3 linked regions of the Diceros bicornis minor genome follow. The protein of the gene in region 2 interacts with the protein of the main gene of each other region in a pairwise test. Links are inferred from orthologs where the notes say so. Each region holds a gene or a part of one and is shown on either strand. Other genes may lie near its edges. The genes, in order: WWP1, ATN1 and LENG8.

What was found.
Region 1: the proteins of ATN1 (region 2) and WWP1 interact in a two-hybrid assay, tested with the Homo sapiens proteins (2 studies listed by BioGRID and IntAct). The link is inferred for Diceros bicornis minor from reciprocal best matches to the Homo sapiens genes ATN1 and WWP1.
Region 3: the proteins of ATN1 (region 2) and LENG8 interact in a two-hybrid assay, tested with the Homo sapiens proteins (2 studies listed by BioGRID and IntAct). The link is inferred for Diceros bicornis minor from reciprocal best matches to the Homo sapiens genes ATN1 and LENG8.

Annotation. Positions count from the first base shown.
Region 1 is NC_080772.1:36,150,212-36,160,179, forward strand, and holds the start of WWP1 (NEDD4-like E3 ubiquitin-protein ligase WWP1), read left to right. Parts: upstream 1-5,613; 5' UTR 5,614-5,735; intron 5,736-8,507; exon of another isoform or gene 8,508-9,400; intron 9,401-9,968. UniProt on the Homo sapiens protein: E3 ubiquitin-protein ligase which accepts ubiquitin from an E2 ubiquitin-conjugating enzyme in the form of a thioester and then directly transfers the ubiquitin to targeted substrates.
Region 2 is NC_080756.1:54,837,245-54,846,931, reverse strand, and holds the start of ATN1 (atrophin-1), read left to right. Parts: upstream 1-5,366; 5' UTR 5,367-6,089; intron 6,090-9,687. Other genes in the region: ENO2 (gamma-enolase), read left to right, coding at 232-340, 487-545, 857-926. UniProt on the Homo sapiens protein: Transcriptional corepressor. Recruits NR2E1 to repress transcription. Promotes vascular smooth cell (VSMC) migration and orientation. Corepressor of MTG8 transcriptional repression.
Region 3 is NC_080773.1:32,059,584-32,069,208, reverse strand, and holds the start of LENG8 (leukocyte receptor cluster member 8), read left to right. Parts: upstream 1-5,473; 5' UTR 5,474-5,576; intron 5,577-7,148; 5' UTR 7,149-7,203; coding exon 7,204-7,241; intron 7,242-8,202; coding exon 8,203-8,377; intron 8,378-8,751; coding exon 8,752-8,853; intron 8,854-9,625. Other genes in the region: TTYH1 (protein tweety homolog 1), read left to right, coding at 61-203, 664-744, 867-900.

The sequences.
Region 1 (9,968 bases), on a different chromosome or scaffold from region 2:
GGCCGCTCTGGGGGATCAGAATTGGCCACTTCAAAATATATCTCTTCACCTTGATTATTTTCAAGAACAAAAGACTCCGAAAGAAACTTTGACCACCCCCTCACTAACTGCCCAAAAGAAATTCAAGATAGAAGCCCTGTCCCCAGGACAGGCCATCACCATAGATAACTCTGGGTATCAATAGACTGGGAGGGTCCTTGCCAAGCCCGTTCTTATCAAAATTCTGTTCACCGAACATTTGCTTTTACATTTCCATGTGAATTTCTTTCCTCCCCTTACAAGTCCCAAACCACTACCCCCAACACCCTCCTTCGTATTTTACTGAAGATGCTATTTAAGATGATAGCCTTCACCATTTTGGTGAGTTACCCAGTTTTTCCTGGGTCTCTCCCATGTATACATGTTATAAAGCTTTGTTTGATTTTCTCCTGTTATTCTGTCTCATGTCATTTTAATTCATAGCCCAGACAGAAGGACCCAGAGTGGGTAGAGGATATGTCTTCCTCCCCTACACCGGCAAGTTGCTGCTGGCTGTTTATCAACAGGCCTTAGTTTCTCTCTGCATGGGTCTGCCAAGGACAGACTTTCTCTAGAGCAGGCAACCCAAAGGGCAAGATGGAAGCTGCAATGTCTTCTATGACCCAGCCTCAGAAGTCGCATATCATCACCTCCACAATTTCCTCCTGGAAAATCTGACACAGGTCAGCTCTATAGGGGAGGAGACTGTACAAGAGTACAGACACCAGGAAGCCAGGATCAACGCAGTCCATCTTGGAGGTTGACCACACCAGCAAGCCACAATCTAGGAAAATAGATTCACAACACATGTATCTGACAAAGGATTGGTGTATAGAATATATACAGAATAGACAAAAACAATTTGAAATGGACAAAAGATTTGAACAGACACTTCACAAAAGAAAATATACAAATGGTTCATAAGCACATGAAAAGATGCTCAACATCATTAGCTATCAGGGAAATACAAATTAAAACACACTGACTTACCACTACACACCCACTAGAATGGCTAAAATCAGAAAGGACTGGCATTACCAAGTGTTGGAGAGAAAATAGAACAACTGGAACTCCCATATACTGTTGGTGGAAATGTAAATGGTACAACCACTTTGCAAAGCAGTTTGGGAATTTCTTATAAAGTTAAATATATTCTTACCATGTGACCCAGCAATTCCACTTCTAGGCATTACTTACCCAATAAAAATGAAAATATATGTCAACACAAAGACTTTCCACCACACGTTCATAAAATATTGCGTCATAATAGCCAAAAACTGAAAACAAACCAAATATCCATCAATAAGACAAAAATTAAAAAATTTTGGCAAATCCATACAATAGTATAGTACTCTACAATAAAAAAGAAGGAACTACTGCTTCATACAACAATATGAATGAATCTCTGAAATATGCTGAGCTAAAGAAGCCAGACACAAAAAAGTACTTACTGGATGATTCCATTTATACCAAATCCTTGAAAAAGTAAAACTGTTCTCTACTGACAGAAGGCAGATTGGTGGTTGCCTAGGACTGGGGTAAAACAAGGTAAAGCAGCACCCAGATGAGCAAAGCATGTGAAGCAAACCCAGCTTTTTCACACTTACATGTGCAAGAGGGAAATTCTAAGGTGCAGGGAAAACAGGTTAGTGGAAGGTTTCTCACCTGCAGCACTATTGCCACTTTGGATCTGATAATTCTTCGTTGCTGCACGTGTGTGTGTGTGTGTGTGTGTGTGTGTGTGCTGTCCTGTGCACCAAAGGATGGTTAGCACTCTCTGGCCTCTCTCCACAAGAAGCCAATGGAAACCTCTCCCCACTCGTCCCTGCCAGTTGTGACAATCAAAAATGTTTCACAACATTGCCAAATGTCCCTTGGGATACAAAATCATCCTCATTTGAGAACCACTGGGTTAGTACATTTGGTATCGAGTGCCACGTAACAAATTATCCCCAAAATTTAGTAGCTTAAAACAATGAACACTTATCACCTCACAATTACTGTGGGTCAGGTATTTGGGAGTGACTTAGCTGGGGTTCTGGTTCAAGGTCTCTGACGTGGTTGCAGTCAAGACGTCTACAACATCCAAAGGCAGGAGTGGGGCTGGAGGATGGGGGATCTGCTTCCTAGATGGCTCCATCACATGGAGATTGACAGGAGGCCTCAGACCCTTACTGGTTGTTGGCAGGATATTCAGTTCCCTGCCATGTGGGCCTCTGAAAAGGCTACTTGATATGTCTTCATGACATGGTAACTGCATTCCACAGAGCAAGTGATCTACAAGAGAGTAGGGAGGAGTCACAATACCTTTCTAAGACCTACTCTTGGACGTGAGACACTGTCACGTCTGCTATATTGTGTCCATTAGAAGGAAGTCACTAAGAACAACCCACATTCATTTGGAGGGGAATTAGGCTCCACTTTTTGGAGGGAGGAGTATAGATGAATTTGTGGGCATACATATTTTAAAACCATAAGAGTTGGAGAAGGATTCTTTAGCAAATAAACTGGGGAAGACTGTGAGCTATTTAGAGAAAAAAGGTAGATCATCACACCAAAATAAATCCAAAAGGATTAAATTATTTTATGGAAAAAGTGAAATTGTCAAATATGTAGAAAAAAATAAAGGCAGATAAATGATATGATCTCAGGATGGAAAAGGACTTGTGAAGCAAAAAATAATAGAAGAAAATAAAAATGGAAAAGACCAATAGTTTTATCTAGAATCAATATCTACATTATATAAAGTGCCTTATTGTGACTCCCTCAGCAAGAAAATGGACAATGAACCAACAATAAGATATCATATTTGCCCATATAAAAATACACCATGATGATTTTGGCACAGTGAAGAAGGACAATCATATACTCTCGTATAGTGTTATGGGAAAATTGAGAACAAAAATTGTAACAACAGTAATTTATTGATTATGTGCCATGTAGTTCTAAGTATTTTATTTGTAGCAACTCATTTACTTTTAACTACAACATTATATGGTAGCATTATACCAATTTCCTGGTTGAGGCACAGTCAGATTAAGGAATTTGGCCAAATCTCATAGCTTGTAGGTGGCAGCAGGGTTGCCTTAGCCAATTGTCCTGATAGGCACAGTGCCTCAGGCTCACCATAATTTTAGAGGCCCATAAATGTTTTAATTTCTTTTAAAATCAGATGGAAAAAAATGGATGTTCAGGTAGAAGAAAACTTTTTTTTTAGGAAGATTGGCCCTGTGCTAACATCTATTGCCAATCTTCCCTTTTTTTTTTTTCTTTTTTCTCCCCAAAGCCCCAGTACATAGTTGTGTAGCATAGTTGTACAGTTGTAGCTCTTCTATGAGGGACACCACCTCAGCATGGCTTGATGAGCAGTGAGTAGGTCCGCACCCAGGATCTGAACCAGCGAACCCCGGGCCGCGGAAGGAGAATGCGTGAACTTAACCACTACGCCATCGGGCCGGCCCTGAAGAAAATGTTTTAATGTATAGTATCAATATATTGTCCTTATATCAATGCAGTTATAAATATAATTTTTAATATTATTTTATGGTGGAAGAGGCCACAAAGGTAAAAGCATCTAGGGTCCATGAAAATCTCAACGTGGCCCTGGGTGGCAGAGCTGTGGTTTAATCCCAGGTGATATGACATCTAAGCCTATGTTCTTCCTGGGAGGCAGCTTGCCAACATGTTTCTAGAGGGCCAAAATTGTTCATGCCTTTGATTATTTTTAAGGATTTAAATTAAGGCAGTAAGTAAGGACACGGAAAATGATTTGTGAAAAGATATTTATTCATAATAGTGTTCATCTGAAACCAAAGAAATACTTAATAATAAAAGGCTGGTTCAATATTGGCTGTCAACTTTGGGGCCTAGGTGAGCACTAGGAGCTTCTGCATGGAGGAGAACTGAGGGAGGAAGCTAAGGACTCAGGAGAGCTTGAAGTGAGACACAGTAGAGCAGGAAGTGGAAGGGGGCCTGTGTGCACTCTGCAGAGGGAATGCAGACCTCTGCTGGGTGTTTGTACGCAATGTCTGAGAGTGCACTTGTAAGTCTGTTCTTGAATTTATTTTTAAAGGAACTGGACCAACAAAAAGGTGAGGAAAAGGTTAAAGCAGAAACCAGTGAGCACAATCAGGGGACTCGGAAGAGTTTGTCATAACAGGAGAGACAGAGCACGCAAGCATGAAAGAAGCCTTGAGGATCATGTTTATTTTTGTCTTAAAAGCTCTGATGAGCCAATGAAAGATTTTAAGCAGTGGAGTGTCGTGCTCAGATGTATGTTTTGGAATAATCATTGTGGATATAGGGTGCATCAAATCCAGGTATCAAGTCAGAGGGTAGGACCTGATGTAATGGAGAGAAAGAGAATGTGCATTCATTCAGTCCAAAGATATTTATTGAACCCTACAAATATTCATGGAGTGTCAATGCTGTCCGTGGTACACAATTCTTTCAAAAGCTTGGTTATGATGGAAGAAGACAGAGAACTAGAAGGAGGTTGTAAAGTCAAGGGAAAATTTAAGACAGAAAAGTCTTAAAATGTGATTATACTGAGGAGTTGTACCCAACAGAAAGGATGAGGTTAGAGATACGTCAAGGAGGGGGTCCCAGGAGGGAGAGGTTTGCTTGGAGAGGAGCAGGGACACTCAGCCTCTGAGACAGAGCACAACTAGTAGGCTTGCGTGTGGATGTAGGTAATTTGTGGGGTTTGGGTGAGAGAGTTGGGCAAAAATTGCAGAAATCCCTGCTTGATGGTCTTCATTCTCTCTCTGAAGTAGAAGAAGTAGAAGCACAGGTCATCTGGTGAGCAATGCGGTCACCAGTGACTTCTACTTGCAGGGTGGCCTTTCTTCTAAAAGCCACACACAGAACCAACAGCCCCTCTCTAGACTAGTTGATTGGTTTGTATAAATGGGGAGAACAGACCCTTCCATATGGCACTGCTGTACGGATTAATCGCCCTGACACGGGTACCTGCTCAGTATTAGTTTTATCACTGTACTCATGGGGGCGGGAGGAGTGAACGTTTTGAGTACCAATAAAAATGGACTGGCACTCTGCTTATGACCATCCCTAAACGCTATTATTTCCTCTCCCAATGGGTTCTAAGTCAAACACTCGGTTAGGTCAAGGGGGCTATATTAACAGTCTCCTTTTGCTGTAAAGCGTTCAAGAACTGAACGCCAGCGCCCCACGACCTCACTTGAGGTCACGCACAGGTCCGGCCTCGAACCCGAGACTCAGGTCTGCAGCAGCCTGCCCCGCCGCCGCCCCCGGCTCGGGGAAGACTCCTCCCAGTCTGGGCCGCGGCCCCGCCCCTTCCAGGCTCAGGCCCCGCCCCCCTCTCCCATTGGCTGGCCCCTCGGCCGCTCCGAAGACCCGGAGGAGCGGAGTTTCCCAGACGCGTCGTCGCGCCGCCTCACTGCGCATGCTCGCGGGAAGCCGGATTCCGGTCCGGAGCGGGAGGCTTGGGCGGCCGCGGCGCCGCGCGCGGGGCGGGGCGGGCGAGAGGCGCGCTCCCGCGGGGGTGGGGCGGGCGTCGGCGCGCTCCCGCGGGGCTGTGGGGTCGACGCGGGCGGCGGCGGCGCGCGGCGTGCGGGCTCCGAGCGGCGGAGGCGGCCTGGCGGCCGGGGCCGCGCTGCTGCGAGATGGCGCCCGTGGGCGCGGAGGGCTGAGGCGCCGCCGCCGGAGGAGGGCCACCGGCCGACGGCGTCGCGCCGGTGAGGACGCCGCGGCGGGCGGCGGGCGGCTGAGGCGGCTGAGGCGGGGCGGGACCCTCGGGGGGCGCGGGCCGCCCTGCGGCGCCGGGAGAGCGGGCGCGCGGGGCCGGGCCCGAGCGCTGGCCGGCGAGGGGCGTGCCGGGAGTCGCCCGGCCCTCCGCCCGCGGCTCCGCTCCGACGCCGGCGGGGCCCCCCGCACGGCTCCGTCGGACGGGCTTCCCGCGCGGTGCGCTCCGGCCCCCGGCCCCCGCCCCCCCCCCGGTGACCTGGGAGGTGCGGTGACCTTGCAGTTTTGACTAGTCCTCAGCTCGTCGGTGACTTGCACCTTCTCGTTTCATCTCTGTTTTTGAAATTCTCGTCCTGCGCTGTGCCCGCTGCCGCTGCAGCCTGCGCACGAGCAGCCTGGGCGCGGGCTGTCTCCCCACCGTGGTTCGGGTGGGCTCCGTGGGCCCCCGTGATGCTGCGACCCCTTCCGTGCCGGGGAGGGGGGTGTCTGTTACCTTGACGTTTGCAGTCTTCCTGGGAGAGATGTTTTCCAGGGCCTCGATGTCGCTTTCTTGTTTGTTTGATAAGTTTTTATCTTTCTGTGTAGGCTAACGTGCGAGAAAGATTTGAGCGTCTGCTTCCAAGTGCCATTGGTAATAGGAGTGGGCAGGAATTACACCCGAAGTTCTCCTTTCCCTCCCTGTGCTGTTCTTGCCCGAAATTCCTAGTGGACAGTGGTCTGCAGATTTCTACAGGAGCACATGTTTAAGTCGGCCTCACCTGCCTCGCTCAATCGCCGTGTGTGGGGCGAGCAGAACGCGCCTTTTAAGAAAGAAAGGCGTTCTTTTATTTATGTGACTTGCTGTTAGCCATCAAGTGGCACGTTATCTGTGACTGGAAATGGTCACTTTTCGTAAGAAGTTACTATTCTTTCAGTTGAAAACTTAGCGGCCAAGTGTTGGGAGCTGCTCAAATCAAGAAGTGTCGAGTGTGGGGAAGAGTTCTTCGGGCTGTAGCTTATTCACATGTTCACATGGTTCTTCCCTTAAAATGCAAAAAGGTCTCTAAGACCTACCACACCAGGGCTTTGAAAAGCAGTAACTAAGGGTTATGTTTTTTGTAAGCCTCGCATGATAGAGAATGTCGCTGAGAAGGTCTTTGCCTTCAAGGAAATAGTCGTCTTTGCTGTTTACCCCGCGAAGGCTGGAATTTCTTTTGCCTCCTTGCACAGTTCTTAGCCTCTGCTGCATGACTGTGTGAGGTGTTTGGGGGAATATAAAGATGAAGATGATACCAGTTTCTGCTTTCACAGACGAGGTAGGCACGTAGGACTGTACACAAAGGCCTCGTTTGTCTTTTAACATATAGTTAAGTTGCGTAGAGAATTCACATTCAGAGCGGGTAGAGCCCACATCTGATTTGGCAAGGTGGGGTTAGTTCATAGAGCTGGCTTCTGAAATCTTTGTTTTGAAGGATGACTGACTCGGGATAGGCTGGGAAAGGTAATCCAAGCAGAGAGAAGGGACTGAGAGCACCGAGGTCAAACACTTGGGGAGGAGCAGGGCATTATGTTTGGATGGGACACACGGTGTGTGTGCTGGTAGAAAGGGTAAAGCTTGAAGTAAAAATCTGGACCGGTTTATGATTGTTGTATATGCCTGGCTAATGACCTTGGATGGGGGGGGGTGTCTTACAGATGATTTTTGAGTTGAGAATGAAATGATTAAAGCCTAGCTTTCAGAGGATTAATCTGGCATCAGCGTGTGGAGTGAATTGAAGTAGAGAGACCCTGGGGTAGGAAGGCCTTGATTGCTGTGGTTGTAGGTAGTGAGGGTCTGAACTGCAGCACTAATAATAGGAGTGGGAAGGAGGAAGGAAGTAGAAGAGACAGAATTTGATGAGAGAGGAAATGAAGAAAGTAAAAGATAGCTAAGATTCCCATCCAGGTTGATTGGGAGAATAGTGGTACCATTTTGAACGACATCCATGGAAGCTTTATCTTGGGCATATGTGTGTTACTTTATAGCAGTGGTTCTCAGCCTTTTGGGGATTACTAATCCTTGAAACTAAAATCTGCTGGCCTGGGAAATTTCCATGTGCACCTGTGCTTTGTGGATATAATTTTAGGGGAGTCCATGGACCACCTGAAGCTCATCCATGTAACCCATGGGCCAGTGGATTAGTCTGGGAGCTGCTCACAGAATTACTGGGGGCTTTTTAAGGCAGTAGAGCCTTCAGATTCTTCCACTTAGTTGATAAGAACCCCTACTGTAGAGACAGACTGTAAATACACCTAGAGACAGTATCTCCTTACACTTGTGTTGTGGTTTACAGTTTACAGAGGATGTGGACTAACTTATATTATTTGCTGTTATATTACAGAACAGACTAGCCCAAGAGGTTAAATAATTTGCCCGAAGTATTTCAGTTAGCAAGTGGGTGAATTGGAGTCAAAAGTTGATTGACAATGATGGTTTTCTTTGTAGGAAGATAAATGCAGCTGATTTACCATCGACTGGATATAGTTACTGCCTTTAAGTGACCTCATCAGTAAGGTCTAGATGATCCTGGGAGGTTTCTTCCAGTTTTTGACATTTTGCTATTGGTCTTAGATTTTCCTTGAACTATCTGTACCCTTCTTGTTTTCCATGTGCAGGGTTGCTGGTGAGGCTGAGGAATGGATTGGGTGTATGGAGAGCAGATGGCAATATCAGACCAGTCATTTACTTACTTATTTTCTTTGTATCTCAGTTTGGGTTGGGGCAGGGGAGGAGGGATGTGAAGTGAATGAAATAAGAAGCTTTAAGAACTTTTTTCTGTTCAGGTATGCCTTACTTAAGAATACCCTGTCCTTCATTCAGGAAGCCTGTATCAAGTAAAAACTGAAACTTTATAAAATAAATGAAGTACAGGGTCGTATCAGTGAATTTTTTCATTGGATTAAGTAGCTGACTCTCCCTAGTATGGTTAAAGCATAATTTGATTAGTAAACAATTGACCTTTCTGCACCTATAAGATGATCTTCCTGGTAGGGAACCAGAACAGGTTATTACGTGGTATCTTTTATAGCTCTAGAAACTGATTCCATAATGATTAGAAAGACTGGGGTCTTTTTTACCCTATAAAAATATGATGTAATTGTAACAAGCAGTGGAAAAACAAATAAATTGGCCTTTATAGTGGTGTTGAAGGACCTAGTTACTAATACGTAATGGAGGAAAAATGTCTAATGAAAGCACATACATAGACGATTTTTTTATTCTCTCCTGGCATTAAGAAGAGTATCATATATTAGTATAGCATTTTACATTTTTTCATAATGGTTGTATAGACTTTATCATTTGATTCTCATGACAGCTGAGCACTAGTGTGTCGGGAGATAATCATTGCTTTTTAGATGAAAACACTGAGGCTCAAAGAAGTTATAAAAAGTTAAATTTCCAGGGTATATGGCTAGTAAGTGGCTAAAATTAGAACTAGAGCTAAACCCATATTTTTGTTCCTAGGTCAGTGTTCTTTTCCCACTGACTCTTCATCTACAATGGAAATTTAACTGAAGGCTGTTGTGAGGAGATGGAGTTTACCTGTTTGGAATCTGTTAAACTTCTGTACTGTGTAGATCTGAACTTGTCTGTTTCCTCCTTTGTGTTAAAATGGTAACCTCATTGCAGTGGCTGTTGGTAGGTAATTTTGAAATTTGTATTTATCACAAATGGTTATTTTCCTGTCAAGGAAAAAGCAAAAGTTGATTTTTTTGGTCTGAAAAAGTACATTGGTGAAATGTAGGTATTAATTTCCTTTTGAAAATTTGTTGATTTTAGTTCAGCTGCTTTTACAGATGAAGTTTGTTCTCCTTTTATAGACGTGTAGTTTATGAAAATTTGTGTTTTTGGAGCATATAAATCGGGATCTGATTTCCAAAATATATATCATGATATTTCATGATTTTACCATTACATAAAAAGCTTTATCATTTAAAAAAAAAAGATTTACCATTAAAAAGTTCTTAGTATACACTTCAAATTCATGTTTAAACAACTTTTTTTGGAGTATATTATGTAAAACCATGTATCAGATAATTCCTAAATTCTAAGGAAGGTTAATGTTTGTCTTGACATTCCTTCAACCTATTGTTTGTTCACATATTGATGTTCCTCCTACGTGCTGCACACTGTGCTGGTACAGTGCTGGGGTGACAACATGGAGCCTGTCCTCTTGGAACTTGGGATTTAGTGGAGTCACTAACGT
Region 2 (9,687 bases):
GAACCCCTCCTGGAAGTGCTCCCAGCCTAATCCTGCCCACAGATGTGAAGAGAGCAGGGAGCCTGGAGTCCCCTTCATAGCTCTCTTAGTTCTGCTTCCTCCACCCAATTCTCTGCTCCACTCCCAGACAGCTTTCCTCCAGATGTTTCTTGACATAGACCCAATCTTGGGGCTGGGAAGAGAGTGCCCAGTGTGAGGAGCTGGGGGGTCAGTGCTGGTGTATGGATACAGGTGCAAGCTGGCCCAGGAGAATGGCTGGGGAGTCATGGTGAGTCATCGCTCAGGAGAGACTGAGGACACATTCATCGCTGACCTGGTGGTGGGGCTGTGCACAGGCCAAGTAAGTGCAAGGGAGATCTTTGTGGAATTGGTGGGTCTCTCCTTCTAGGTGTTTGAGGGTGTCAGGGGAATTTTAAGGGAGTATAAGTGTCCTTTCAAGGAATGAAGGGGCAGCCACTGAGCTGCTTATCTTTTGGGATGTTTCAGATCAAGACTGGCGCCCCGTGCCGTTCTGAGCGTCTGGCTAAGTACAACCAGCTCATGAGGTGAGGGAACCTGGGGAATGGGAGCCCAGGGCCCAGATGGTTAACAGGTCTGTTTGCCCACTGTTCCATCTCCAGTGTCCAGGGCCTGGAGAACAGTAGATATCCAGAAAATATTTGTTTTTGAAAGATGAGTTTACTAATAGCATGACTGATGGATCCCACAGGTTACATGGGAAAGCCAGGGAATGCTCACGCTTGCGCTAGGACACAGGAGCAGGTGGAGTGAGGGCCTTGGGGGCTGGGAGCCTCCTGGAAAGAGACCTGGATCCTCCTGCTTCCCTGACGTTTCCTTTCTGGCTCATCTCTCTCAGAATTGAAGAAGAGCTGGGGGATGAAGCTCGCTTTGCCGGACATAATTTCCGCAACCCCAGCGTGCTGTGATCCCACTGCTTACCCGGAGCCTGGAACCCTGCTCCGTCCTCCTGGAATTGCTTCCTGTCCTGCTCTGTGGTATTTCACCCCAGACACCCCGGCTGACCTGCTGCGCTGCTCCTTGGCTTGTCTGGCCCCTGCTGTCTCTGCTCTCCCCTATCTGGGTTCCACACTCTCCACTTCTCCTTCCTTTCTATTCTCTCTCCTCAAAAACTGGCCGTGAGACTGAGGATTATAAGGGGGTCCATGGAAGAATGATCAGCGTCTGTGACAGGAGCATCAGCGTTGGTTGCTGAGGTGTTTAGAGAGGGGCCACATGTCACCTTTGCTTTGTGCTGGTTTCATGTTGCATATGAACCAGGAACTGCAGAGTGCTGAGGTGGAGAGGAGTGCCGGCTGCATGGTCATGCCTGGCCTAAGACTTTAGTGTATTATTTATTCATTTATTTATTTTTTATTCATCCTGTTAATTAATTAATCATTTCCCCATAACTCCAGGGCCAAAAACTGGCCTGACTAGAGGGGACTATGTGTCTGTATTTCATGTGGCTGTAGATTCTGAGATGGCCTGGGGTGGGAGGTCTTGCTGGACTGGAAAAGGTAACAGAAAAGGGCCTTGACGTCAGTTCCGTTGTGTGTGCCAACCCTTAACTGAAGCCTGGCTCAGTCCAGAGGTGGGGCTGTGTGCCTGGGGGCTCTTCCCCGATAACTCTCTCCCCAGCCTTAGCTTCCCTCTTCTTCCTCCAGCTGCACCAGAACAATGTCTCACTCCCCCATGCCATGTTCCACAGATGCCACCACCTCTGTGGCACTGAAATGAGCACCACCATTAAAGTCTGAATCACAGTGCATCATTGTGTCTGAGGAGTCTTACTCTAGTCCATATGAAGGGAGGAAAGATGGAACACCGGGAAGCTGGTGAAACTGGATAGCAGAGCTGGGGAGGGCAGAATAAGAGGAAGAAACCGAGCAAATATGGCCAGGATGATGGCACTGCCTACCCCGGCCAGATGGGGACCACGTTGCCTTGCCTGCTCGGCAGCAAGCCTCGTCCCAGGACCCAGGTGAATTAGAGATTCTTAATCTGGAGTCCAAGAATTCTTAAAAGTATCAAACATTCTGTGTATATGTGCATTTTTTGGGGAAAGGGGTCCAAAGTATTTTCAAATTCCCAAAGGGCATTGACCAAAGAAGGGATAAAGCTGTGGACTCGAGCAGCTCCCATATCAGCCCCTCCCAAACAATCCTGGCCGCTTCTGGGATGGAACAGCACTGCATGGGCATCATCCGGTGCAAGATGTGGAACTGGGGAGGGAAGAAGGTGTGGGGGTGGGGGTGGGTGGGGTGTACAGAGGAGGGCCTGATGAACTGAGTCTTCCAGTAAACTAGTGCCCAACAGGCCCCCTTGGCTGGGTCGTGCCATGTGTGGCTGGAGACCCACTACAACTCTTCAGCTCCAGTGGAACCCCAGCATTGAGATGGGAACCCAGGAACACCGCCCCCCCCCCCCAGAAACCCCCTCACAGTGCTTCGACACCAGGGCAGAGCCCAGCCATAGAGGCTGCAGTGGGGGAGCTGTGACCACTAGAGGGAGTCAGGGTTCTGCAGGACACCATACTGCTCCCCAAGCTAGGGGAGGGGTGGGGGAGGCATTTCAAGGATGTTCCCTCTGTGGGCCTCCACTGTTTTTACTCTCAGTTCTGGTCCTGGGCTCCCTCTGCCATTCTGCCCAGCCAGGACTAGGAGAGGATTCCAGTTCTGTACGGGCAGGACCCATTTCTCTGCTCTTCTTTCTGTGTCGCTGACAACCTCAGCCATTTTCAGTTCAAAGAGCTTCTTGCCCCCTCTTCTCTGGCCTCTTAATTTCAGTGTGGGCATCTCATCTTTCCCTTCTCTTCCATGTCTCCTGGCTTCCCCTTCTGTTTCCCTTAGGGCACACTGTACTTTTCTCTGTGCCTCTCAGTTTTCTCTGGGGTCCATTATATCCGTCTTTTTTCAGTAACTCCTAGACTGAGCAGGACTATTCTGGCTAGAGCCACATTTCCTAACCTCTGCCCTCTCTTCCCTCCTTGCTAGGTTGCCTTCTCTGGCAGCCATGTCCCTCCTCAGGCACTGGGTTGGATTGGGTTTCAGCTAGCCCAGCTTGGCCTGGGCCTCCCAGGCCCCTCTCTCCACTTTCCCTTTGTGCCGTTGCCTGGAGACCAGTGGGTTGTGGGGGGCTGGGGCCCGAAAGGGAGCTGGGGTGAGAGATGGTGGGGTGTGTGTGTGTGATGTTCTCTGATGCTGAATTGTGAGCCTGGCCCTCAGGCAGAGGAGGAATTGGAGGGGGTAGACCCTGGCTTCTCTTCTAACTCTCCCCATCCCATTCCTACGTATGCCTAAATTTTTCTTTTAGGCTCAGATATGTCACCATTCTAGCGCATCTCTTAGTGGTTAAGAAATGAGGGATAAGAGCTCAGCCTGGAAGGGACCTCAGAAGGGTCTGGGCCAGGGCCCAGAGGGAGACTGAACTGAGAAGTGCAGGGGAGGAAATGCACCAGGGAGGGGAGGAGTCAAGGAACAAAGTTAGGGGTGGGGAGAAGGAGCAGGGCTATCCTAGGGCACTGAGGAAGAGAGGGGAGCAGCACAGGGTAGGGGAGGGAGGGGGCGGGAATAGGGAGCTGGCCTGGTTTCTAGAAGGCCCTGAGGGATAAGGAAGGTGGGCATGGGGTGGTAAAGTGAGTGCCAATCAATTCAAGACACTAAAGAGTGCTGATTCTTTCCTAGGCCAAGGAAGCCTTCTCGCTCAGGTTCCCCAGTGCTTTAGAATCCATTTAGAGCTTTAGGGTATTCCTAGAACTTGGCTGAGCCTGGCTCAAGGAAATACGAGGCAAAATCTGAGTTGCTACAGAGCCAACCTCCTTCTTTCCCAGAAGGCTGGTGGGATCCTGCCATTCAGGGCCCACCCCTGACCTCTAGCTGGCCTAGCCCCACACATCCCCTAACCCCACCCCAAATCTGGAGAGCTATTGAGGGCTCCAATCCAGACTCCAGCTCCAGCTCTTCCTGTTTCCCAGCCTGCCTGCCTCCCTCCCATTCTCTGGCCTTCCCAATCTCAGCTGCCAAAAATCACCCAGTGTCTTGGTGTCCTTTGTCCTGGAGATGTTGCAGCTTGGTGTGGGGCCAGGGAGGGAGCCCAGAAGAAGACACTGGTGGTGGACTGGTGGGGGTGCTGGCTTCATGGCTGAAGACTGGGAATGGCTGGCAGACTGACAGAGTCAGAGGCTGCCTGGAGAGCAGTGGGGGGAGGAGGAACGGCCTGCGGACTAGGTGGGGATTGTCTCCATATTAGAATCATTGGGCTTGGGGAACCAGGACACCCAGAGATTTGGTTCCACACTGAGCCTAATCCCCACCTGGCCCCTTCCCTGTGGCCCAAGGTACCCCATCAGTGATGACTTCAAACAAATTTGAAAAGGAAAATGGAGACACCACCAGACAGAAGGGCCTGAAGACGGTGTTACACTCCTATAAATTAATCCCTTACCTACCCTGGGGCTTACCCTCCCCATTTCTATCATTTCCTTCTGCTGTTTTCCTTTCCCATCTTCACTCGGGTCTTCCATCACTGACCTTCCCTCCTCCATATTGCCACCAAAGGCCTTGTTTATCTTACACTTCCTTCTAATCTTCTTTACCCCCCTCACTCCGCCCCCACCCCATTCAATCTACCTTGTCTTGCCTACCAAAACTCTCCTCAGCTCTTTTGGAAACCCCCCACCCCCTTCCTCCAGCCATCTCTGTGCCTTCCACCCTCCTTTCCCACTCAGAACCCCAGCCTCCCCCTAGAACATGCATCTGGCCCCACCTCCTTCATCCCTTCTTAAGGTTCCTCATGTTTTCCCTTCTTTCTCTACACTGACATCTCTGGATTTCTCTCTCCTCAGTTTTCTTTCATCATCCCCAAATTCTTATATTCCCTATTCTTTTCCTAACACTAATCACCCCCAACCTCTTTACTCTTCCAGAAACCCCATCCTCCTATATGTCTCCATCTTTTCAGTTTCTTCCCCACCTTATGACACCAAACTTCCATCCCATTCTCTCATAATTGCCCCCCAAACCTCCCCGGCTATATGTCTGCCAGAGACGCTGTCACCCCATGCTTCTTTCGCCTCCTGTCACAGACTTCATTGCCCCCAAAGCCCCCATGTAGCTCCATCTTTCCAATCTAACCCCATTACTCCAATCTCTGCCACATACATACAACCTCCCACCTCACCTCTGCCACAGACTCTTTGCCCCCCAACTTCTCCAGCCTTCCCCGATCTGCCCTTACAACCCACAGCCCCTCCTACCTAGCCCTCTCGGCGCCAGGCCCGCGGGCTCCCCACATTCCGCCTCGGCGAACCCTTCCCCGCGCCCCGGCCCCTCGGCCTCGGTCTCGGCCAACTCGCGCAGCGCCGCCCCCTCTCCGATCCCCCACTCTCCCCCCTCGCCGCTCGCCTCGCGCTCCCTCCCTCGCGTCTCCCTCCTGGCCCCTCTCTCCTCGTTCCTCCGCGCTCCCTCCTTCTCCGTCTTCCTCCCTTCTCCCATCCCCCTCTCCCAGGCTCCCTCCCTCCGCCGTCCGCTTTCCTGTGCGAGTCGCCGGACGCGCCGCCCTGCCAGCCCGCAGCCCCGCGTCGGGCCGGGGCCTCGGGCCGGGACCCGTTCAGGGGGGACCGCTGGCCTTGGGGAGGGGCTAGGAGGGGGCGCAGGGACGACCGCCCGCGCAGGGCGGGGGCCGGGGCCGCGCGAGCGCCGGCTGCGGCGGGCGGGCGCGGGCGGCGGCGGGGCAGAGCCGCGCAGAGGGCCGGCCGGGCCGCGGGGGCGAGCGGCGCGGCGGGGGCGGCGGCGCGGCCCCGGCATTCCGGGCGGCCGGGGGAGGCGGCGCGCCTGGGGAGGGGCCGAGCGAGAGCGGCGGTCGGGATTTGCTCCGGCGGGCCGGCGGGCGATCGGGGCCAGGTGGAGTGAAAAAGGGGGATGGGGGCAGCCTTCTGGGAGGGTCCGGGCCGCCGCCGCCGCCGCCGTAGCGGCGGCGACTGAACGCAGGAAGAGGAGAGGGGTGCGGGGGAGCGGCCGCCGCCGCTGCCCGGAGGCGCCGGAGCCCCGAATCCCGCTCGGAGCCAGCCAGCCGTCCCGAGCCACAACCAGGTAAGATCTGCTGCCCCCCGGGCCTCGGGCCCGCCCGGGTTCTGGCCCGTGGCTCCCCACCCCCACCCCTCCCGGTTCCCTCTCCCGCCGCCGCCTCCATTTGTTATTTTCCCGATCCGGTCCCCCCACTGTGGGCACTGCCTGGCCTGAGGGTGGGGGCTCAGGGGGTGGGGCCGGCCCCCGAAAAGGGATGGGGACCAGGGCACCGGGAGGATCTGGAAGGTGGGGGAACGTGGGAGGGTCTCAGGAGGAGGGCTGATGGGGCTAGTGGGTAGCCGGGACCCTGGCACCAAAAGAGGAACGCCGAGGTGGAGGGTTGGCGGAGGAGAAACGGGGGCTGCCCGTGAGGGGGCTTCGGGGCGAAGGCAACAAGGATGGAGAGATGGCAGCGAGGTGGGGCATGAGGGGTCCAGGAAAACCCCAAAGGCCCAGAACCCGGGTTCTATACCGGGTGCTTAGGTATAGAAGGGAAGTGGGAGATGGGGAAGGGGTGTGGTAGGTGGAAAGAGAGGGGATTGTAGCTGATGAGGGAGGAGGATGGAACCTGAGGAGAAGGAGGCCGGGAAAGGGCCAAGGAGAGGGCCACCTTTGAGAAGAAGAACTGGAGGTATTCCTGGGTGGAAGTGGGAGGGTGATGCTTTTGTGACTCAATTTTCTTTCCCCTACTCCAGGTCACCTCTGGCCTTGTTTTTCCAATTCCAGGCATAGTTACTTCTTGGAGAGGGGCACACTGGGGCCCAGTAGTGTGAGTCCTCCTAAAACTATTGAGGAGGAAGAAGGAGAGTTAGGGAGAAGGGGTTTCTGGGAGGGTGGAAACAGGCTGGGGCGGGGGGGGGGGGATTGGGCAATTTTATAGGCACGCCAAACAAGTTGTGATCTCTACCCTCAAATCCTCAGAGTGCCCACTGTCCCTCTAGCCATGGTTTCCATGGGGCGGGGGTCTTCATTACTGTTTTGAACTCAAAGATTTCCCTTTGTGCGTGGGCTTATTCCTACTGGGGTAGGTACTCTTAAGCTCCCTTCTCTGAGGGTGCTATAGGAGGATAGGAGTTGCTTTGGCAACTGGAGGGGGAGTGGCTAGCAGATGGACCCCTGGGATGGACTCTTGAGGGGCAGGTTCTGCCATTTTGTTGCCGTGGCAATGATCCTGTGGGATATCCAATAGGTGGGGGTTCAGAATATTGAGTGGACCTCAGCCTTGAGGTATGTTCCTGGGACTCTTGGCTGGGTTCTGGAGATGTTTCTGGTGCTGCTGGTGGATAGGAGATTCCCCAGGGAGTCCACCGCTTTCCATCCAGCAGTCTGTTGGAACAGGGAGACAGGTTATTTGCAGGTCATAGGTATTTCTCCAGGTCCCTCCCCCTAGGCATGGTGGGAGAATGGAAATGCTCCTGTTGAAGTTATAGGATCTTTTGGTAGTTCTTTCTGGGCTCTCTACCTCCCTTATTATTTGAGATTTTTTGTATACAGTGGTCTCTTTGCTTCCTTGCACTGATAGTCTTCCATTTGCTTAAACTTGAGTCTCCCTTTTTCTCTTTCCCAGACTATTGCCACAGTGACCCTTTTCCTCAGCTAACCTTCCACCTTCTATTTCCCTGACCTTGTAGGAATGGCTGGGCTCTCCACACCCATCCCAGGTGAGGGTGGCCCAGGGGAGAGGGCTGTGGAACAGCCTGGTGCACTGGAAATACTCGGGAACAGGAGCTGGGAGACCTGTGTCTAGTCCTGGCTGTACCTCTAACTGTGATCTTGGGCGAGTCACTTCTCTTTGTTTGAGCCTCAGCTTCATTGTAAGATGAAAGGGTTATAGAGAAGATGATTTCTTCTCTGACAACCCTCTGACAACCTGGATTCTAAGGCTTAGGACAGTCCATTGTTATCTGCTGGTCTGGGCTGCATTGTTATCTAGGAGTCACTTTGGACTGGTTTGTGAGTCTGGCGGGTCCGGAATGATGATGGGGGCTGGGCCAATGATCCTGAAATGCACCCTGCAAGCCCTTCCCAGAAAGCCTTGTGCCTCAGTTGTATTCTTTCTGACATCCTTCTCATATTTCTCCCTTAATTTCTTTTCCTGTTCCTTCTTAGAGATTCTTTCTCTATTTCTCACTTTTCCACCTTCCCAGTCTGGTCTTTATCATTTCCTTTTGCAGTAAGGCTATGAAGGTGAATGTGCTTTGTGTGTTGCCAGATACATAGTAGGTGCTCTATAAATGTTAGTCATAGTGACTGGCTCCTTAGGGCAAGATGTGTCGCTCAACTTGTTGGTGCTAAAACGTGCCCCAGGTTCAGAAACATATATGCAGCCCAATCCTAACTCCTCTCCCCCTGCCACTCCTTATTTCCAGGATTACCTACCCTTTTTATTTTTATTTATTTATTTATTTTTGTGAGGAAGACCAGCCCTGAGCTAAGATCCACGCCAATCCTCCTCTTTTTGCTGAGGAAGACTGGCCCTGGGCTAACATCCGTGCCCATCTTCCTCCACTTTATATGGAACGCCACCACAGCGTGGCCTGACAAGTGGTGCATTGGTGTGCGCCTGGGATCCGAACCCCGGCCGCCAGCAGCAGAGCGCACGCACTTAACTGCTATGCCACGGGGCTGGCCCCTACCTACCCTTTTATGACTGCTTTTCTCCTTCAAAGCTACTCATTGCTAATTTCATCAAAATTCAACAGATTAAAAAAATTGAGGTGGGGGAGGGGCACATTGGGATTGCTCTGCCCTTTTGGATCCCCAAGCCCTAACTGACTTGGTGAACAGGTTCTGTGATGGAGGGAGAGAAGGGCACCCTCCTCTAGAATGGCTGGCAAAGGCACCCAGTCACAAATAGTCATCTTTGTTATGCTTTTGTTGAGGTTGTTTTCCCCTTTTGTTATGTTGGGTCTTGTTCTTTGGATTTTTTTTGGGTTGACACTATTTTATTTATTTATTAATTTTTATTTTTTTGTGAGGATGATCAGCTCTGAGCTCACATCCATGCCAATCCTCCTCTTTTTGCTGAGGAAGATTGGCCCTGGACTAACATCCGTGCCCATCTTCCTCTACTTTATATGGGACGCCGCCACAGCATGGCCTGACAAGTGGTGCATTGGTGCGCGCCCAGGATCCGAACCTGGGCCGCTGCAGCAGAGCGCACACACTTAACGGCTACACCATGGGGTCGGCCCCAACACTATTTTAAAACCTATCTACACAACTGCTTAAAAATGTGGTAATAGTTGTAGTTGAAGAAAAATGGCTGGTTTACTGGGCAGAGCATCAGCTGTAACTTCACAAGACCTGGGGCTCTGTCCCAGCTATTTTGTGACTCTAAGTAAATTGTTATTTATTTTTTTTTGGTGAGGAAGATTAGCCCTGAGCTAACATCTGTTGCCAATCCTCCTCTGTTTGCTGAGGAAGATTGGCCCTAGGCTCACATAGGTGCCCATCTTCCTCTGCTTTATATGTGGGACGCCTGCCACAGCACAGCTTGATAAGCGGTACGTAGGTCCACGCCTGGGATCCGAACCTGCGAACCGTGGGCCACCAAAGTGGAGTGCACCAACTTAACCACTACGCCACTGGGCCAGCCCTTAAGTAAATTGTTATTAAATTT
Region 3 (9,625 bases), on a different chromosome or scaffold from region 2:
GTGTGTGTATGTGGAGTGGGGAGGGGCACTGCCCCCTGATGCTCTCTCCCCCCACCCCAGGATTATGGTGCAGCCCTGCGGGGCTTGTGTGAAGACGCCCTGGAGGGCCTGCTCTTCCTGCTGCTCTTCTCTCTCCTGTCTGCCGGGGCCCTCGGCACCGCCCTCTGCAGCCTGCCCCGCGCCTGGGCCCTCTTCCCACCCAGGTCAGGAGGGGAGAGAGGGCAGGGTCCTGGAGGAGGGGGCAGGAGGAGGACTCTCAGGCCACTGTTGGGGGGGCAGCCTCCTGATGGATCCCCCATCCTGTTTCTCTGCCACTCCCCCCATCACACCCCAGTGACGACTACGATGACACAGACGATGACGACCCTTTCAACCCTCAGGTACTGGACTCCTGGGTCTGAGGGAGGAGGGGCCAGGGGCCTGGACTCCCGGGTCTGAGGGAGGAGGGGCCGGGGGCCTGGACTCCCGGGTCTGAGGGAGGAGGGGCCGGGGGGCCTGGACCCCTGGGTCTGAGGGAGGAGGGGCCGGGGGCCTGGACCCCTGGGTCTGAGGGAAGAGGGGCTAGGAGCCTGGATTTCTGGTCTGAGGGAGGCGGGCTGAGGGCCCACATTACAAAGCCAGATTCGTTGGTCATGTCCCCTCTCACCCAAATCTCCCCAGCAGGAATCCAAGCGCTTTGTGCAGTGGCAGTCGTCTATCTGAGCCCCTCCTCCATGCCAGACTGCAGCCTACCCCCCACCTCCGGTGAGCTGCCAGAGCGACACCCCAGCTCCCAAAGCCGGCCTCTGCCCTCCTCTCCCTCACTCTGGGCACGGTGGTGGCCCTCCCACCTGCATCTGGTGCCCTGTCTCTGCCTCTCTCTGCAGTTCCTTCCCTGGCTGCTGGAGAAGACCCCACTAACCCAGCCCAACTGGGCTCCCACCACTAACAACGCCGCTGGCCACGGACACCCCAAATAGGACTGCTCCCCTGTCCTGCCCCCCTCTTTGTGTCCTAACCCTTGGGAGTAAGCTGAGGGGGCAGCCAGGGCCCCGGACTGGCCAGGGAGGGGCAGCCAGCCAGCCTCACACCCCCTCACCCCTGGCCGCCAGGCCCATCCTTGAAGGGACACGAGTGCCCCCGCCCCTGCGGTGCCCCAGTGGGCTTAGGGCCCTTGATCTCAACTTGTGGCACTAACTTGGGAATGGGTTGGTTTGAAATAAAAGGGAAGACTTTATTTTACAAGGATCTGGGTCCTTCTTATTTGTCCCCTCCTGGTTCTGGCCTCCTAGTTAGGTCCGGGGAGATCCCTTCCCCTCAGCCTCCTGGCTGCCGGTGTTTCTGCTCCTGTCCAGGCTTTGCGGCGGTTCCAAAGGGATTGTTCTTTTTAAAAAAAAAAATAACTTTTTTTCTCTGGTTTTAAAAGCAGTACATGTGTCCTGACACAGGACGAGGTGGACATCCCTGGAACAGAATAGATAGCCTGGTAATAGATCTCAGTGTTTGTATAGATGACAGAAGACAGACTGCAGGTCAGGGTGAGAAGGACCGTTTGGTTTCGAAGCACTGCTGACTTAACTGGCTCTCTGTCTGGAAATACATACGAGATGGGTGAAAAATCTAAGTGTATACAAGTAAAGGGATGGAAGCATTTCAAGAGAAAGTAGGAGAATTCTGTATATTGTATATCTTGCTTGGAGGGGGAGGATTTTAAGCAAGATATCCTAAAGCCGAAAAGGAAAAGGTAACATTTGACAAATTGTGGAACGAAAAAAATGCTGTCAAGAGGCAAATTGATAGTCTGGGGAAAATTGTGGGTTTTTTTAACATATATGGCAAAGAAATATATAATTCTTAATATATAAATATAATCTACAAAGCTTCCACAAACTAAGAAAAATACAACCCAACTTAAAAATAAGCAACTAAGATAGACATTCAATGAAGTGAAAATCCCATCACCAGTGAAAACGAAAAACCATTCAAACCATAATAATTAGGAAGTGCAATTTGAAACAACCACAAACTTTTTTTTCCACCACCTAGTTATCACGAAATTAAAGGAGCACTAACATTCCATGCTGGCAAGGATGTGGAGGAACCAGGCACCCAAACGCCCTGCTCCCGAGGCTGTGAACTGCAACACGAAAGAAATAATCTGCTCCTGTGTGATAAAATCAAACTGTATAGACCCTTGAGCCGGCAGTCCTACTTTTGGGAATCAATTTATGGAAAGAAAGCAGAGGCATCTGAGGACATATGTCAAGGACTGTTTGCTGCAACCATCAGCTAAACTCTGGAAACTAAAGTCCACAGAAAGACGACATGTCTGATAAGTCACCCTACAGCAGGGCTCTCCAGAACACGACAGCTCCTGGCTGGGCCTGGGATTTCAGGGAAAGCCTGAGAGAGGAGGGATTTGAGGTGGGTGTGACAATAGCAGCAGAGCAGACAAACACAGAGGAGGCCGTGGTTAAGCCCTGCCTGCTCTTTACCACCAGTTGGCCGTGGGCAGTCACCTGACCTGTTGGACCTCAGCTGCCTCAGCCATCAGATGGGTCATGAAAGACAGCTCCCCCGTCCCTCCTCTGCAGTTCTGAAATCCAAAGAGCTGTGTTAGACCAAACGTCCTCCCTTAACTCCCTGGGCAGCAGGACCTGACCCGACCTGGCATGAGGTGACTTCCAGACTATCTCCCTGCCTGGTGTGAATGTTCATCTGTTTCCCTGCAGAAACTGATGGGGTTACTTCCAAGTGCTGTGAAGGGTGCTGTGGATGTGGTGTGCCACATGGAACATAAACCATGTTGTCTCTCAAAACTTTGAAAAATCCTGGAGCCCCAAGACACATATATGGCCCTGAGGGTTTCGGGTGAGGGCTGGTTGGCTGAGTGTCAGATGCGGGTATCCAGCATAGGGCCTGCCATGGGGGAACCGCTCTGTGCTTGCTAATCATTTCCATCCTGTGCACTGCAAGGAGTGTTCAAGAGAGCTTTCAGTGTGTGGCCCTGAAGCTAGGAAAGAGAAATGGACTATAATTTCCTGTGAAGGGCTCTGGGGGCCACCTGTGTTGACTCACTTGCTTCTCAAGACCCGGTGAGCTGACCCTGGGGCCAGCCCTGCTGCTAGTCTGGCTGTTTTGCTCTCAAACACTGCCCCCTAGTGACTCTGAGTCCAGCGCGATGTGTTGGATTTCGCAAAGTACCCTTGAGGTTCAGGCCGCGTGATTTCCTGCCAGCTGGCCTTCCAGTGATCTTTAATCAGGAAGCTTTACCCAAGAAAAAAGGACATTTGCCCAATCTTTACCAAAGTAAATCTATAAATTTAAAATCTATCATTTATTTTTAAATGATACCTATGAGGACTCCCACTTCTGACCAAGATAGACTAAAAGGGACTGGATCTGCTCTCCTTCCTGAGACAACCAAAAAGCCAGGCAAAATTCGTGAAAGAACGGTGCTCAAGACTCGGGACATCAGGCAAGGAGGGAGAGTGGTCCCTGAGAGATGGGAAATATCAAGGTGATCCCTGAAATCACCAGTCTGTCAGAAGAGAGTTTCCCACCACAGTGCAGGGGAGGGGCCCCGAGGCAGAGCACCTCCCAAAGGCCCCACCTAAAACTGCTCTAAAAAATAAAGTCTATTTTTAAAAAAATGCTCAAAGCAAAAGAAGGCAGAAAAAGAGGAAAAGGGGAATAAAGAAAGATGGAACAAATAGAAACTCGATGGCAAGATGATGAGTTTAAAGGGAACCAAACCAATAGTCACACCAAAAGTACAGTTATAAGCACCTCTTTTAAAACGCAGAGATTGTACATTTGAGTAAAAAGAAAGATCCAGCTATATGCCGTCTACATGAAAACCCCCTTAAATATAACCCTGAAATGTACATGGATGCTAAATGCAGTGGGGTACCCTGGACTGGACTCTGGCACATAAAGGAGACGTCAGTGGAAAAAGTGGTGAAATTCAGATAAAGCCTGCAGTTTAGTTAATAGTCACGTGCCAATGTTGGTTTCTTCCTTCTAACAAACATACCACAGTAAAGTGAGATGACAGCATTAGGGGAAACTGGGTGTAGGGTACGTGGGACCTTGAACTATCTCTGCAGCTTTTTTGTAAGTTTAAAATTATTCTAAAACAAAAAGTTTAATAATAAAAAGTAAAAGAATGGAAAAAGGTCAACTATGTGTCGATGCAAATAATCGGTAATCAATCTATAAATCAAATGGGGGTGAGTTTATGATGAGCCAGTCCTGAGGATCACATAGCCGGGGAGAGTACCTTCACCAAGGAAGAAAGCTCTCTGAAGCAGCGGGGTATACAGAGTGGTTATAGACTCTTTTGGAACAAGGAATATACATCAGTTATGCCAGGAATATCTTTTACTACAGTCACAGGATACTTGCTAGCACAGCAGGTCGACGGTAATGAGATGAGCTAAAGCAGGATAGTAATTAACCCTTAATTTCTAGGAAGAAATGCTTATCTTGAAAGAAATACTGATATGAGGGGAGGCAATATCCCTATCTTCAAGGGCATCATTCTCCGCTTTGGGTCATTGTAAATGTTCAAAACAGATGGACAACGCATAGTCGACAGGCCAGGTCAACCCTTTCTGGAAAAACAAGGTCAGGCTGGATTAGTTTTAAACCAAACGGCTTCCTCACATACTCCAATGTATCTTACTGCTTTTTGGTTATTCATCATATGCTAACAGTAACAAAATGATACATACACCAAGAGAAAAGTCTATAGTAACAGAAAGTGGGAAGGAACTGGCCTCTGAAATACTGTTCTATCACCTACTGCGACTCCAGTGACCGCTCCCTGAACTGGACTGGATAATTTTATCAGCCCGAGTCCTGCATGGAAACAGATGGCATGCTCAAAAGGTGACTTGCAAGGAGTTTAAAGGAAGGCCAAACTCCTTAGACTTTCAGGATCTGCTACTGGCCTAGCTCTTCACGCCAGGAGGCCACACACTTCCATCCTATACCTGCTCCGAGCATTCTCCCCGACCTACCCTTGTTTCCCGCCTCTGAGTGTTTCACCAGGCCGTTCCCTCCGCCGGGTGCGCCTTCCCCGTTTTATCTAGTAGGGAAGCTCCCCTTTCCAAGGGGAGACTGTTCTCACCCCCTTTCTCTGAGTTCATTGTCTTCCCCGGGCCTTCCGCAGCACTGTACGGTGGGTAGTTTTACAACTCTCATCACCCTAGTCTACACCTAGAGATAAGCAAGGCTACCGCGAACCGAGGCCCCACACGGCTGCGCGGAAGGGCGCAGGGTCCTACAAGCCTGCGGCGCCTGTCCCCTCGGGGCCACCATCCCCCCGCCCCGTTTCCGGCTTGCCTTTAAAGTGCCCACCGCGTCATTGCGTAGGCGGGGGGGGGGGGGAACGGGCTCAGATCAAGGTTGCGGCGGCCATTGGCTGTGCGGCGGGAGGGAGGCGGGGCGAGGCCTCCGTGTGACGTCATCACGCCGCGGTCGGGACTTCGGAGCCCTAGGAAGACAAGAGCCAGCCGGGTCGGGAGCACTCTCGCGGCCGTGTTGCTCTCGCTTTGGGCCGCTGCTGACGATTCCCGGGGCGATCGGCCGAGGTGGGTGTGGGGAGCTGCGGGCCGGCGGGCGGGCGTGGTCGGCGTCTCCTTTCGGCATTACTCCGCGCGGGCCCGGAGGCCTCGGCGGCTGTCGCAGCAGCGGACGCCGCGCGCGAGCGGCGACAGGGTGTGGCGGGCCGGAGCGGCCACTGCGCCTGCGCACCCGCGCGCCTGCGCCGTGGGCCCGGCTGCCGACCCCGCCCTCGGAATTCCGGGGCCCGCGCGCCCCCGCCCTCAACACCCATTGACCGCGCGATTCCAGCCGCGGGGCGGCGTTGTCCCGGGCGACGGGCGGCTCCTGCGCCGGCTTTTTCCCCGGGGCGGTGGCTCCGGAGCCAGTCGCGGGGGCCGAGGTGGGCTCTTCCTGCAGCCGGTGCCCCTGCTCTGCGTTCTCCGGGCCTGCGGGGCGGCCAAGTGCCCCTCGCCTCCCCGGCCTCGCGTCCGGTTCCTGCCTCCACCCTTCAGACTCGCCAGGACGCTCACTGCAGGCCTTCCTCCCCTATTTCCTACCCTCCCCCGTCCTCTTGTTTACTCTTTAAGGCCTTTCTTTTCTAGGGCTGTTCCCAGCTCCAGACTTCTGTTCCTGCTCCCTCACTTCTACGATTTTCAGGTTCTCCAGTGAGACTCGCCTTGGAGCCCACCCATACTTCTCAGTTATCCCCCCAAGTTCAGGCCCCTCAGTCTTTGCCTCCAAGACACCCCTTCACTTTCTTGCAGTCCTCTCCACCCCCGTCTCAACCTCCTAAAGATGTTCTGGATCTCTTCAGGCATCCCTGAAGCTTACTTTCCAGACCCCCAATCGCGGGGCTGCCTCTTCTCCTTCCTGGGCCTACCCCTCCTTTTAGGAACCTGCCATGTAGGGTTCTTCTGTGCCCTTAGGGGACCTTCCTGTAATTAGTCTCTTAAAAGCTTTTCAAGAACCCATTTCTTCACTGCGGGGTTCCCCTTGGGCACCCTCAACTTCTCCCTGTTTCCAGGAGTAACTTATAGAAATCCCCTTTTCCTTTGATTTCTTTTTCTGTTCTCTGGTATTCTCTTCTCTCAAGGCTCCCTCAAACCCTTCCCTCTTTACAGAGTTCCCCTCAGAAACCTTTCAGCGTCCGCCAGCCTTAGGAGTTCACTCAGGCTTTGCTCATCAGGGCGTCCTCTTTCTTCTGCTTCCTCTCTGGAATTCCTCTTGGACTCCTTACCCCTTGACTGAGGTCCCCCCAGCCTACCCTCTGGACCTCCCTCTTATCTGTCTCAGAGTTTCCCTTGAACCACCTTCCCCTTCCTCCTATGTGTTTCAGATCCTTCTCCTTCCCTTTGGGAAATTCCTTCAGACATCCCTGTTTTCAGATCCTTCATTTCCCACCTAGAGCACTGCAGGGAGGCCAAGGTCTTGCCCTCTTACTGTAGCCCTTTTAATTGACACCCAGAATTCTCTTCAGATTTTTTACCCCAGTGGCTCCTTCTTTCTCAGACTCCCCCTTTCTGCCTAGCTCCTCTGAGTCCATCCACTTCTCTTCCTGTTTTTGTGACATGTCTCTTGCTCCTTCTTGAGTCTCCCTAACTCTTTTCTTTTTCTCGTAGACAGTGAAAAAGCAGTCTGGCTCCCGAGGTCCACCCCTTACACCCCAAGGTCCAGATGGCGGCCAACGTGGGTGATCAACGGAGCACAGATTGGTTAGTGGGGCTAGTGGGACAGAAGCTGGAGGGGAGGGCGAGAGGACGTGAGAGCCAGTGTTGTCCTCTGGGATGGCCCTCCCACAACAGCGTGGGGGAAGTGATGCAGCAGTCCCTGTGGGCAGCGGTGGGGATGACGCCCTCCTCTGGCCTCAAGCATAAAAGGAAGCATGTGGTCATAGTGTGAAGAGGGTTGGGTCTTCACCTCTCTGAACTTTCATATTTCACAGTGCAGTGCTTGTTTCACAAGATTGTGATGATTCATTCATGAACTATGATTGGAGGCGGTCTCCAACACTTAATACTCAAGCATTTATCTTTTTGTTAATTGCTTGTTTTTTCCACCGCATTGTGATAATTACCTGCTGGCTGGGGTAGCGTCAAACGGAATTCTTTGATTCATAAAACATTTACACCTCTTAGGCGCCAGGTTCCATGTTTACTTCTGTGGACACTGGTAATTTTTTCATTTGTTTGATTTTTATTGACTGATTGAGGAAGATCAGCCCTGAGCTAATATCCATGCCAATCTTCCTCTTTTTGCTGAGGAAGACTGGCCCTGGGCTAACATCCATGCCCATCTTCCTCCACTTTATATGGGATGCCGCCACAGCATGGCTTGACAAGTGGTGCCTCTCGGTGCGCACCCGGGATCCAAACCCGGGCAGCCAGCAGCAGAGCGCGCGCACTTAACCGCTACGCCACGGGGCTGGCCCCCTGTTTGATTTTTAACAGCTATGTATCAGGCACCTGGAAAAGTACCTTAGGTAGGTAGTCTCATTTATCCCTCAGAAAACTGAAGCAGAAACTAATTGTCAGCATTACCATAGATTAGGAAATCTAGGCTCTTATAGATGGAGAGAGGGAGATCCGGGATTTGAGCTCTGGTATTTCCCTGCCTCCGTCTTGCCCACTGTGTGCAGTGGGGAGAGGAGACTGACTCGACGTCCTCTCTCTGCAGGTCCTCCCAGTACAGCATGGTGGCGGGGGCGGGCAGAGAGAACGGCATGGAGACGCCCATGCACGAGAACCCAGAGTGGGAGAAGGCCCGCCAGGCCCTGGCCAGCATCAGCAAAGCAGGAGCTGCTGGCAGCTCTGCCAAGGCCAGCAGCAATGGGCCGGTGACCAGCGCACAAGTGAGAGGGCCGCACGGGCCTGGGCACGCTGCACGGGGGGCTGCTGGGGGAGGCACACATGTGGTGTCTTTGTATCACTGGACACAGTGCTCTGAAGAGATTGTAGGAGCTTTCGGGTAGGGGAAGCAGGTCTGTTTCCTTGAAGAGTCGGAGGTACCATGTGGTCCTTGCCCCTGGGAACCTAACCTGAAGAGCGAGGCGTGCCTTCAGTGCCCCGAGTCCGAGGTAGAGGCAGTGGCTCTCTGTGGAGAGATGTGGACCCAGTTCCACTCCGGCAGTTGACCACCAGAAAGTCAGCCTGCCCTTGTGGGGGCTGTGGGGCCCGTGGGTTCCTGCTGCCAACGCTGATGGCGTGTGGGCCTCTCTTCCCACAGTACGTGTCACAGGCAGAAGCCTCGGCCCTGCAGCAGCAGCAGTACTACCAGTGGTACCAGCAGTACAACTACGCCTACCCTTACAGCTACTACTACCCCATGGTAGGTGCCCAGCCCGGCAGGGATGGGTGGGTGAGGAGCTGGGCTCAGTCAGGATGGGTCCAGAGTAGTTAGTGGGTTGAAGTCAGCAGTGACAACCGCTGAAAAGCCCTCCACTAGCTTATTGCCCACGAGATAAATCCCCGGTCCTGCCTGTGGCCCGCCAAGTCCCACGTTACCTGGTTCTGGCCACCTTTCCCCGCATGCTCGCTGACAGTTGCCACAGAGACCTCCTCCATCTCTGCACACACCAGGTCCACTCACACTCTGCTCTGCTCTGCTGCAGCTCTCTTCCCCTGTTCCCACGGCGCCCTGTGTCCCCGCCTCCTGGAGGGCTGCCCAGATGTCACCTTCAGAGAGCCCTTTCCTCTGGCAAACTTAGTCATGTACAGGGCTGTCCCCCGCTCACCCTGTTGTCTCTGTCTTTATTTGGCCTTCTTTTACTTGCCGCTGGATGTGTTACGTGTTTGTCTACGACTGAGCCTAGGTTTTGAGTGCAAACTTGTTAGAGCACAGGTTTAGTCTTTTATATTTTGTTCTATTGTAGTGCATAGAAGAGTTGGCACTCAGTAGATATTTGTTGAATAGAGAGAAACTTCTAAAAACTAGTGGAAGTGGGGTATGGAATTGATAGCAGTTTTCATTTTATTTACTAATTTTTTTAATATAAGATAATTTGATGCATTTATGCGGTGGAGGGAGAAAGAGGGGTGAGAGATGAGTGGAGAGTCACAAGTTGTGTATGGCTCCTGAGTGGCAGGAGAAGGGGGCAGGC